2 linked regions of the Drosophila melanogaster genome follow. Changing the gene in region 2 together with the main gene of any one other region gives a genetic interaction. Each region holds a gene or a part of one and is shown on either strand. Other genes may lie near its edges.

Region 1 (5,050 bases), on a different chromosome or scaffold from region 2:
TACGTCAAGGACTATTCTGAGGCGGGCAGAGCTTTGAAGGAGCTGACCGTGAAGGACAGCACGTGGAGTGCCTCGGGACTCTTGGATCGCAGCATCGTTCACAAAATTGCGCAGGAGTGCCACTTGGAGTTCGATCTCATCTGGAATGCGGGACGCCAGGTGACCGCCTCCACAAGCGGTACGGCCGCCACTGGAATGAGCAGCACTTCTGGGATGACGACTACTGATGATGACGACGCCGATGACGAGGAGATCACCGAGGAGCTGCATTAGATGATTCAATTAATAGGCGATGCAGCACCTAGTCACGTCCCAGTTCCGCAGAGCGGATAACAAGTAAATAGGCAAAAGAGTTCCCTTTAAATTGGATAAGCAATGGCTACAATGGAATGTTTCAACCAGCAGATACTAAGTTATGCTAAGATATTAAGTATTAATGATCATAAACGAAAGTATATACAATGACAGAAATCGTGGAAAGCATCTTAAAGTTCTCAATCAAAACGAACAAGTTACGTATTTGTATAACTTGTATTTGTATTTCACAAGACTGCTTAAATTTCTGCTTATATTGTATACAAATCCCTTGCTTGGGCCATTTGGAATTTTATGAATGAACTTCACGATGTACGCAAGCCTAGTAAAAGCTTTCGGTGCTGAAACATACATATGTATATGTATGTAGGTATATGACTTGGATGTGAGTTCAAGTGACCGACGTCACATCAAAGCAAATATAAACAGCGATACGGATTCGGATCGGCGGATCTGCCGGCGCCAGTCGGAAAGCAAAAGAGAGCGGCCATCCGTGAATCACTTGCCCAAAAGCGTCCGCGTCCTCAGCTATGTATGAAATCAGAGGCATTTCCAGGAAGCCAGCGAAACTCGGAACAATCGAAAGAGCAATCAGTTGGCGAACTGATATAAACTAAATCGAAAACGTCACCGACGTCAAGCAATTGGATATTTAGATCCCAAATATAATTACCATATATGGATATGGAATGGTTTAGTTTTATAAATACTGACCCTTAACTGGAACTTGTCACGAAGTAAAATGCGCACAAGGATGAACTGCGGATAGGAGGCTTGTAGAGAAAACCATGTATCACTCGATTATGACATAACTATTTATTATTTATATTTATATCTTCTATCTATATATATCTTATATCATTCTGGGAGCGACCTTTTGCCAAATATCGGAACAGAGATAAACTGATATTCCAAGTAGGCATGGCATGGACCACAGACAACTAACGACTCATGCCCGATTTCCCAGAAGAATGACGCGGCAAAGGCAACAAGACAACAAATCCAAATAGGAGGGGAATCGATGAATGAATGAATTTTCGTTGGCCCCCAAACGACCTTCCACCCGAGCCACCCCCTGTGGCCCACACACAAGGCTGGGGAACTCCGTCGGCTTCCCGCCGATCGACGATCGCTGTGCTCAATGGACGGGTGACTCATACGGACTAGGCCAGTTTCACGACGTCATGCTTAAGGTTGTTATTTGCTTTGCGAGCGAGCGATAAGTGGGCACTGCGGAGAGCGAAAGCTCGCGAGCCGAGTGGCAAACGCCGCCGGCAAACTGGTCCCGAGCAGCCAGTGCCCCTCGAAGTCAGCCGGTTGGTCATGGGGCAGCCGAGTCGGCGAGAGAGCGCCAAGTGGAAAGCTCATGGGAGCCGACTTCGTCATGGCTTTATCACTGTTCGCCGGCGCTGATCATTAGTTCGTCACTCGCCAAGTGGGTCGGATCAGGGCCAGAGCGATCGAAGATCGGCGATCTGGAGTGGAATACGGCGCTACTCTTAACCCGATCGGCGGATCTGTAATCGGTCGATGCAATAACGGTTATTAAACGTTTCCAATCGCAAACTTTCCGCGAAAGATTTCCGCGATTTGCGGCACGTGGAAAGCCTGCCGCTGACTCCACTTGTCCGGTCAGCAGGTGAAATACCCTGACTATCTCGGGTGAATCATCCAGCCAGACGAACACACATCCTAAATCCGTTTCAACCGGTTGCAGGCTACCAATAAACGCAATAATGCGAAAGTGTGATTCCTAGAATATTATGATTAAACAGGGCCAAAGTGAAGTGAATATTCTAGTAGTGCAAAAGGGCGCCAAAAACATAAACAATAAAGTGTAATTAAGTGCACTTACCAAAAATCAAGCTGGTATAATGAAATCTTAGTGAAAATCAAACAATAAGCAAATATAGATTAGATGAATTTATATGCCAACCGAATAATGTCAAAGAAAAGTGAAACGGTAAAGCTACCAAAAGTCTTTAGCTAATAGCTGATATTGCACTTTCGAAGTGGGAGCAGGAACATCCCAGCTTAATGGCCATTCTACAGAATAGCCGCCAGAGCCACAAGCAACTCCCAATCATCAGCCAGACGATTCGCAGTGCTTGGTGCCAACAGAGGCCGATTAATGCCATGCATCAGGATGTCCGGCAAAAAAGCATCGGATCCGGAAACGAGACCAAACTGGAAGCGAAGGAGACGGAAGTTCCCACCAACAGAAGAAGACGCAGAAGGCGTTGCAGCAGTAGCTCCACCAGCGACTCAAGCGCATCCTCATATTCCTCAACAGACTCGGATTCCGGGTCCTCCACCAGCAGCAGTAGCATAAGAAGCCAATTACCCGCCCTCAACTTGCCAGTGCCCCTCCCGCTGGCGACACCCACTCCGCCCGCCGTTTCATCGCCTCACCAGGCGCCATCTCCTCGAAGGAACTCCAGCGACTCCAACCGGAGCGTCTCTCCCGTGGAGGTGCCCGTGGATCCGCACGCTTGGACGCCCGAGGACATTGCCAGCTGGGTGAGATGGGCGACGCGCAAGTTCAAACTGGACCCGGAGCCGGATATCGACAGGTTTCCCAAGGATGCCCAGGAGCTGTGCGATCTGTCTCGCGCGGACTTCTGGGTCTGTGCAGGATCAAGGCGCGGAGGCATGCTCCTGGCGCAGCACTTCGCGATCAGCTTATACCACGCCACCGGACGGGAGACGAGTCCGATGCTCAACGACGACGAACCAAGTGAGTGCCTAAGATAGAGCTTATTTGAAGAGGGATTTCAAATCCTAGCCTATGTCCTCTTATGGCTTAGTCTTTGAATTCCTATTTCTGAAGTGCCAACCCTTCCAGAATCGAGTAAAACTACTTAAACGGAGCCACATTTTTCTCACTGTCCCAAGCTAATCTCGGGCCACATAAATCTGCAGAGTCCAGAGATTGAACTGCTTGGTAATTGGGTTCACGTGCTATTCCCAGCGGAGCGATTGTCCGACTCTCGAATCCTTTGTGGTCAGGCATCAATTGAATCCTTTTGCCTCCGTCGCCGGCCAAATGGCCACTGATTAAGATGCCTTCGTGCTGATACGGCTGTAACTTATGTGCTCCATTGATTGTTTCTCCCACACTTCTCCGGATGTCTTGATAAGGAGGAAAAGTGGCCGAAGGTGCGGGAAATCCCCTTTTAATTACCTTTCGCTCGAGTTGGCCAACTTTCTCCGAGACTCCATTAACGTAAGTCGTTGGGAAAATCTCTGCGCGACAGCAGCAAAGTATGCAACACTTTTCCAGTTATTAACTGGCGATGACTGCCAACGCAAAGGCGATGGGCGTTGGGGGGGGATGGGGGGGGGGCGTGTCAGGGCCTTGTGGGTGGTCGCGTCAAGTGATGAACTTAATAATAAACGATGTAAATATGATAATTTCTCGCAGGATGTGGCATCTAATAATAAAATCAAAATAATCCCACGCCAGCGACAAAAGTCGCCGAGTCAAGTTTCAGCTTGGCGGAAAAAGTGGGCTGAAGGTCGGGTGGTTTGGATGGCTTGGATAGCTGAGATGGGTTGGGTGGTTTGTCCGTGACAACAGCTCTGCGGGTGGTCAGCTTTTGGGCACAGGAAAATATTCATTCGTCGCATCCTTCCTGTGGCAGGAAGAGCAAGTGCAGGGCGGGCAAAGCCCCCTGATTCGGGTCTGGCATATGCTGGTGGATGGGTGTTCCATGGACTACACATACATGCCTTGATCCCGGGAGCAGGCGACGTCGATTTAATTGATTTGTTTTTTATGCCAACCAGGATTACGCGTCGTCGCCGTCACGCAGATTACATTTGTTGTGGGCTACGGTTGTGGCTCCCATGTCTGAGTCACCGCCCCCTTTACAGGGTACAAACTGGATCAAAGCCATTCCCTGTTCACAATGCCACAGCCACCAATAGTACGTACCTTGAGGAACATACCAATGAAACCATTAGTCATATGATTTCCCAAAAACTCGGATATATTTCCCCACGCAAACAGAATACTTTTCTGGTTCCATCATCCATCGGACGCGCCCCTGCCACCTTATAATATATCCAGCCACTCGCAACTGGGTATGCATTAGTCGAAACGCTGCAAAAGAACAAGTTGCTTATCGTGTGCGAAGGGGTGGGTGCTGGTTGAGTGGCTGCACGTGGCCTCTGACTTTGCGACTTCCCTGGCAAATGCCGAAGCGGCATTTACCACCAGCTGCGCAGGTGAGCCGTAATCGTGCCCGGAGCTTCGACTGCTTCGCGGATGCCCATGCTCCCATCCAAGATGCCAGATGCCAGGCATCCGTCCGGTGCTAAGGAGCGAAATCCGGCCAGCGCTTCTGGCTAAAGTTTCAGTCGGCGAATGGCTCTCGTCCTAAACGGTTGACGCGCTCCCGGCATAGACCTTCATTGATGGTCATAGAACAATCCAATCGGGTCAAAGGTCAATCCAACGCAGCATTCAAAGCAAACCTAAACTATAATAGCTAACCAAATAGAAAGAAATTGCTTACAAGCTTACAATTTCTAACTGCAAAGTGTAAAATGCGATTGATTATTTTAAGAAATAATCCAAATGCTGATGTGACTTAATCGAAGATATTTACTAAAGTTTAAAACGGAAATAGTTTAGTGACTTGCACTTGCAATTTCTGAAAAAGACTTTTGCGACCATGAGCGTCAGCGTGGACGTGGGCGTCATGTGGCGCCTCTCGGAGGACTTCAACCG
Region 2 (4,943 bases):
ACGGCCAGCAGTCGCTGTTCTACTGCGACATGTGCACGGACAACTGCAACGACGTTAAGACCTTTAGCGGGATGCTGGAGCTGCAGGAGCACGCCGAGGAGGTGCATCGCCTGCGTACCCTGAAGTCCACGGCCAGTGATGCAGGTAGGTATTCTGCTTACGAGTAGTTGTGATGTTAATGGCATACCCTGCTTAATAATACTATTCAATCCGATCCCTGCAGACAGCCAGGTTGATGAAATGGAGGATCTTGAGATGCTAGAGGAGAACATTGAGAACATACTGCCCAGCATCGACTGGGACGACGATCTCACCTTTGGCTGGCCCACCGACCTGGACAAGGAGTCGTGCATTGTGAACGCTAAGCCGAGCGTTTTCGTGTGTCCCTTCTGCGCCAACGGATTCCCCGGCAGTCTGAGCCTGGTGCGGCACCTGGAGCAGGTTCACGAACGCAGTGCCCTGGACTGCTGCTACTGTGGCAAGAGCCATGGCAGCCGAGAAGCCCTGCGGTCCCATCTGCAACGTGTTCACATCCTCTTGCGCGGTCATGTGTGCGGTATTTGCCAGGCGGACTTCGCCACTGCTGATCACCTAAAGAAGCACGTTAACAGTCTGCACCTGGACCACCGACCGCATCTGTGTCCCACGTGCGGAAAGAGATTCACCCAGCGGTGCCACCTCACCGATCACATAAAGACGGATCGCGGCCATGGACACGGCACTTACACCTGTGAATTCTGCGTGCGGCCCTTCTTCCGGGCCATCGATCTCGAACGGCATGTGTGTGAGGAACATCCGTAGGGCAGTCAACCTAGCCGGAATCGTAGATACCTGAGCGACATCTCACGTCCAGAACTACGATTAATATATACTTAAGCAATGGATAAATGTAACGTTTTAATAGCGTTAATATTTTGAATTTATATCCTAGTCATCGGAAATGTTTTTCCAAACGAACTTGAATTTAAAATCGTATTTTATTTTTTGCTGTAAAATTAATGCTTATGAGACGATTTACATTTACATCTTAGGAACTATAGACATAAGCGAATAGTTACTTTAATATAGCAAGCAGATGGCTGAAAGACAATGTACTTATATGAATAAAAAAATATCAATACATGAAGTCAGGTTAATAGAAACGGGCACAATTGAAATATTTTCTAAGGAAAGTTTGAAAGAATGAAAGATTGCCTAAAGAAAGTTTACAGATTATTGCTGCGTAGTGTTAACATAATGTAAAATGTCACACTAAAATGAATACTTTGAAAATAACGATGAAATAGTGCAGCTTTATGAGTAATATTTATCATCACCACAACACTGATTAATCAGATAATATACTCCATTTCCACCAATAGACAGATAATAGAATGTAACATATGTATTGTTCATGTTGCTCTATATATATTTAAATTTAAAATCTCAGCGAGCCTCCTGAGCGAGGGTGTGCGTAAGTCGAGATCGCGCTCTCCCAGCGTTAACTGTTAACAGTGAAACCCATCCGCTCCGCTCCAGGCCCCAAGATCGGGAGAGTAATGAGCGGAGCGGTTCGGTTCGGATTGGATGTGAGTGTTGCGGTACAGAGCGGAGAGCGCAATGCTGCGACAGCTGGGTACTGTTACTGTTACTGCAACAGTTACTGCTACTGCTATTGTTATTGGCGACTGTGGTGATAGGGGCGCAGTAACTTGGCCCACACCGACGAGTCGACAGTTTTGAACGGAACTTGCTGGTGCTTGGATCGCAGCTCCGCCGATCTCCGCGAGGCTAACACCACAAACTTAAACGCGCTCAAATATATATCACAAATTATTAAATACAAAACCCCCCATTTGTGCACACATATTTTTTGTTGTTTGTTTTTCGTTTCGTGCTAACCGATTTGTGCCATTGAACTTCGTGTAAAACATAATATTTAGAATTTTCAAGCCGTGTTTCCATAAAGTAAGTGGTGCTTCTCAAAATTTCAACATTTCAACACAAATCAGCAGCGTAAACAAACAAGCCAGCGACCCTCGACTACATCTAACATTTAAACTGAAACTGCTTTTTGTTATTGTTTATATGGTTTTCCACTTCTGCCCCACTAAAGCCGGGCCTTTTAAAAAGCTCTCCACAGCGCACAGCCTTTTGTTATATATATGTTTTTTTTCCCCAATAGCTTTCGAGCAAAACCAGAACACCATTTTATCATTAACAAATGCAAAAAAAAAAAAAACCAAACAAAACAAAAAAGTACAATTGCAATTAACGTTTTTTGATCTGGCTGTTGAGTTATTCCAGTGGCTGTGTGGAAAACCCAGTGAAAATGTTGCGCTTGAATTCCTAAAAACAAAGTCTAAGCCGGGCTTAATCGTTATTCAAATCAAACTACGTCAAATCGCGTGCGAATATAAGATTTGTGAATCACAAATGAAAGTGAACTTGGCTTAAATGTAGTCGCTGCCTTAAACTGCAATATATCAAGTTGTTTATGATCGAGTTATTGCGGATAAATCGTCAATAAAGTTCAATAAACTAATGCTGGCAATGTGTTCAAAGTTCCTGTTTTTTTTTTTTTTTTTTTAATTTATAACATTTTAGAACAAAAATGCCATTTTTAAGAAATAATTTATTTTGAAATGCACATTTGCGGGTTTTCATTAAAAGAAAACACGTTTAATGATAATGTTTGCTCACAAAAGTCACACATTATATATTATGTGATGAATATTAAAATATTATAGTAAACGTTTCTAATTATAACGTATATTGTATGAAACAACTGGAGAACTTTGATATCCTAGAAAGGAAACTATACCTTGAGCAAGTGACACCTTCACTAAACTTAAAAAAGAAAACAATTATTTTAGATATGCCCTAGTTTTTTAAAAACTTGTTCATATTTCCGCCTTCCAAAAGTTGAAATCGGTTAATCTTAGACTCGCATTCCAGACGTCGCCGTTGACCCGATCCCTTTGGGAGCCCTTTGGGAGCAAATCCATAATTTATCTTGTAGAGCTTGTAGAACCCACTGCCCATTGTCCATTGCCCATTGCCCTCCTGTTGGTCCAAGTTTTGTGTTTTCTTGTTTGTTGTTTGCTCTACTGCTCCCCCGTCTACATGGGCCCATGGATGCAGTGGAGTTATTATCATGTCTATATTGTAATTGATTTGCCTGAGCGAATGACCAGACGGGAAGACAAGCTATGGGCCTGTTCCCTGATCTGCCACGCCTCCGCCCGCGCCGCGCCCGCGGTCTTATCATTAACGCTTGAGTCTTCCTTTTGTATTGGAATTCTTGTGCGGGGAGCAATTGCCTGGCGGGAGGCACTCCCTTCGCGTAATTAAGGACCGCCCAAGTGGGGATCGCGATTCCGAGATGATTCCTTTTGGTTCCTCGCCTTCTCCTCCTTGAGATTACTTGATATGATTTGATATCTTCGGGTGACGCACCGGGAAGGAATGCCTCGAAAGTGTGAGAATAAATACAGCTGACACCTGCGCAAACTAAATACAGATCATATGGGTATCGTCTATCGACTATATGATACCTGAGGCATGGATATATGCATATGATAGCCTTATAAGTTTAATATTCCTAAAGAAAGCTTGTAAACAGTGGCTTGATTGCGTTTTTTGAAACTAAATGCTGATCAGATTTCGCCAAAGTTAGCATACCTTTTTTTAGTACAGGGTACTAAAAGCAATCAGTATGAGGAGTAACAAAAGCCTGTCGCTTTCGCAATAAGTACATATTCGCATTCATATATATAATTTAAAAACGTGCTTAATTTTGTAATCTGCCTTTCCCCCTTACCACTACTCCCATCTATCCGTCTCCCTGTGGTCGATCTGTAATATCTGCGCTGACGAAATGCCTCAGTAGCAACAACAACAAAAACAACAACAACTGATAACTGATAACTGACTAGACGCACAAGTTAACCGTTGAATCGGGTTAAAGAGACCTTCGATGTGACAGGTTGTGCAATCACCAGCGGCCCACCCGTCGAACGAACATCCTATAGAGGTTTTAAGAATCTGCATTATATTTTGAATCTTGTTTTCAGTTTGTAAGATCTATTGAAATTCTTTGCAGATAGATTAGTAAATTACTTGATATCTTTTTAATTCCAATTGAAAATTATTCCGAAACTGTTAAGCTAACAGCTGTTACTCCACACAAAGCTTGTGCAGCAGCCGCCAAAAAAAAAAATAAAAACAGAGCAACAACAACAAGACGGCACAGAGGAATGTCAAGATGAATCACACAGGTGTGCGTGACACCTGGCAACAGAGAAAGAGAGAGGGAGGGAGAGCGATGAAAAGAATAACAACGTTTGGTCTGTCATATCAATCGGTATTTGCTTAACTGTTAAAAAGAGCCAAGAAATGTAAGGAAAACAGAAAGGAAAACAATGATAGCTGAATTCCGTGTGCGTGTGTGTGTGTTGATTGCAGCCCACAAATAAACACTTGTGCACCCATTGCACCTAAAACGCAAGTGCAGAAACATACACACAAATTGAAACTCCCGAGGAGTACCGTTACAAGGCGAGCTTAAAGCTATTTTTAACACCATCCGATCTTGCTCTCCTTCCCCACCCCTTTCCACACCCCTCTTACCCATTCTGCTATCTCCTTTCCTGTGTTGTTTTTTGCACCACTTCTCACTTTGCTTTTCTTCGTCTTGCCCTCATACACTGCACGAAACCAGGATCACTTTAAAACGCTTTGTCCGCATATTCCACAGCTTTGTATTAGAGAAATATAATCAATTATGTATATACATATAATGGGCATTAACCCATTAGTCGGCATCTTCAAAAACTTTCCACACTTTGTTATGTGTACAAAAAAGTTCATACAAGTATTTCCAAAAAACTTTGTACGTTTTAATAAAGATCATTCCAATTTGCCAGTTGCATTATAAAAGTTATTTGTATAGTAAAATAGGC

Evidence for each region.
Region 1: of Pvf1 (region 2) and Ets21C, changing one suppresses a phenotype caused by changing the other (phenotypic suppression), as found in Drosophila melanogaster (one study listed by BioGRID).

The regions. Positions count from the first base shown.
Region 1 is NT_033779.5:549,160-554,209, reverse strand, and holds the start of Ets21C (Ets at 21C), read left to right. Parts: upstream 1-1,755; 5' UTR 1,756-2,352; coding exon 2,353-3,052; intron 3,053-4,707; exon of another isoform or gene 4,708-4,994; coding exon of another isoform or gene 4,995-5,050. Other genes in the region: rempA (reduced mechanoreceptor potential A), read left to right, coding at 1-273.
Region 2 is NC_004354.4:18,831,000-18,835,942, forward strand, and holds the start of Pvf1 (PDGF- and VEGF-related factor 1), read left to right. Parts: upstream 1-1,682; 5' UTR 1,683-1,947; intron 1,948-4,943. Other genes in the region: CG7101 (uncharacterized protein), read left to right, coding at 1-144, 224-801.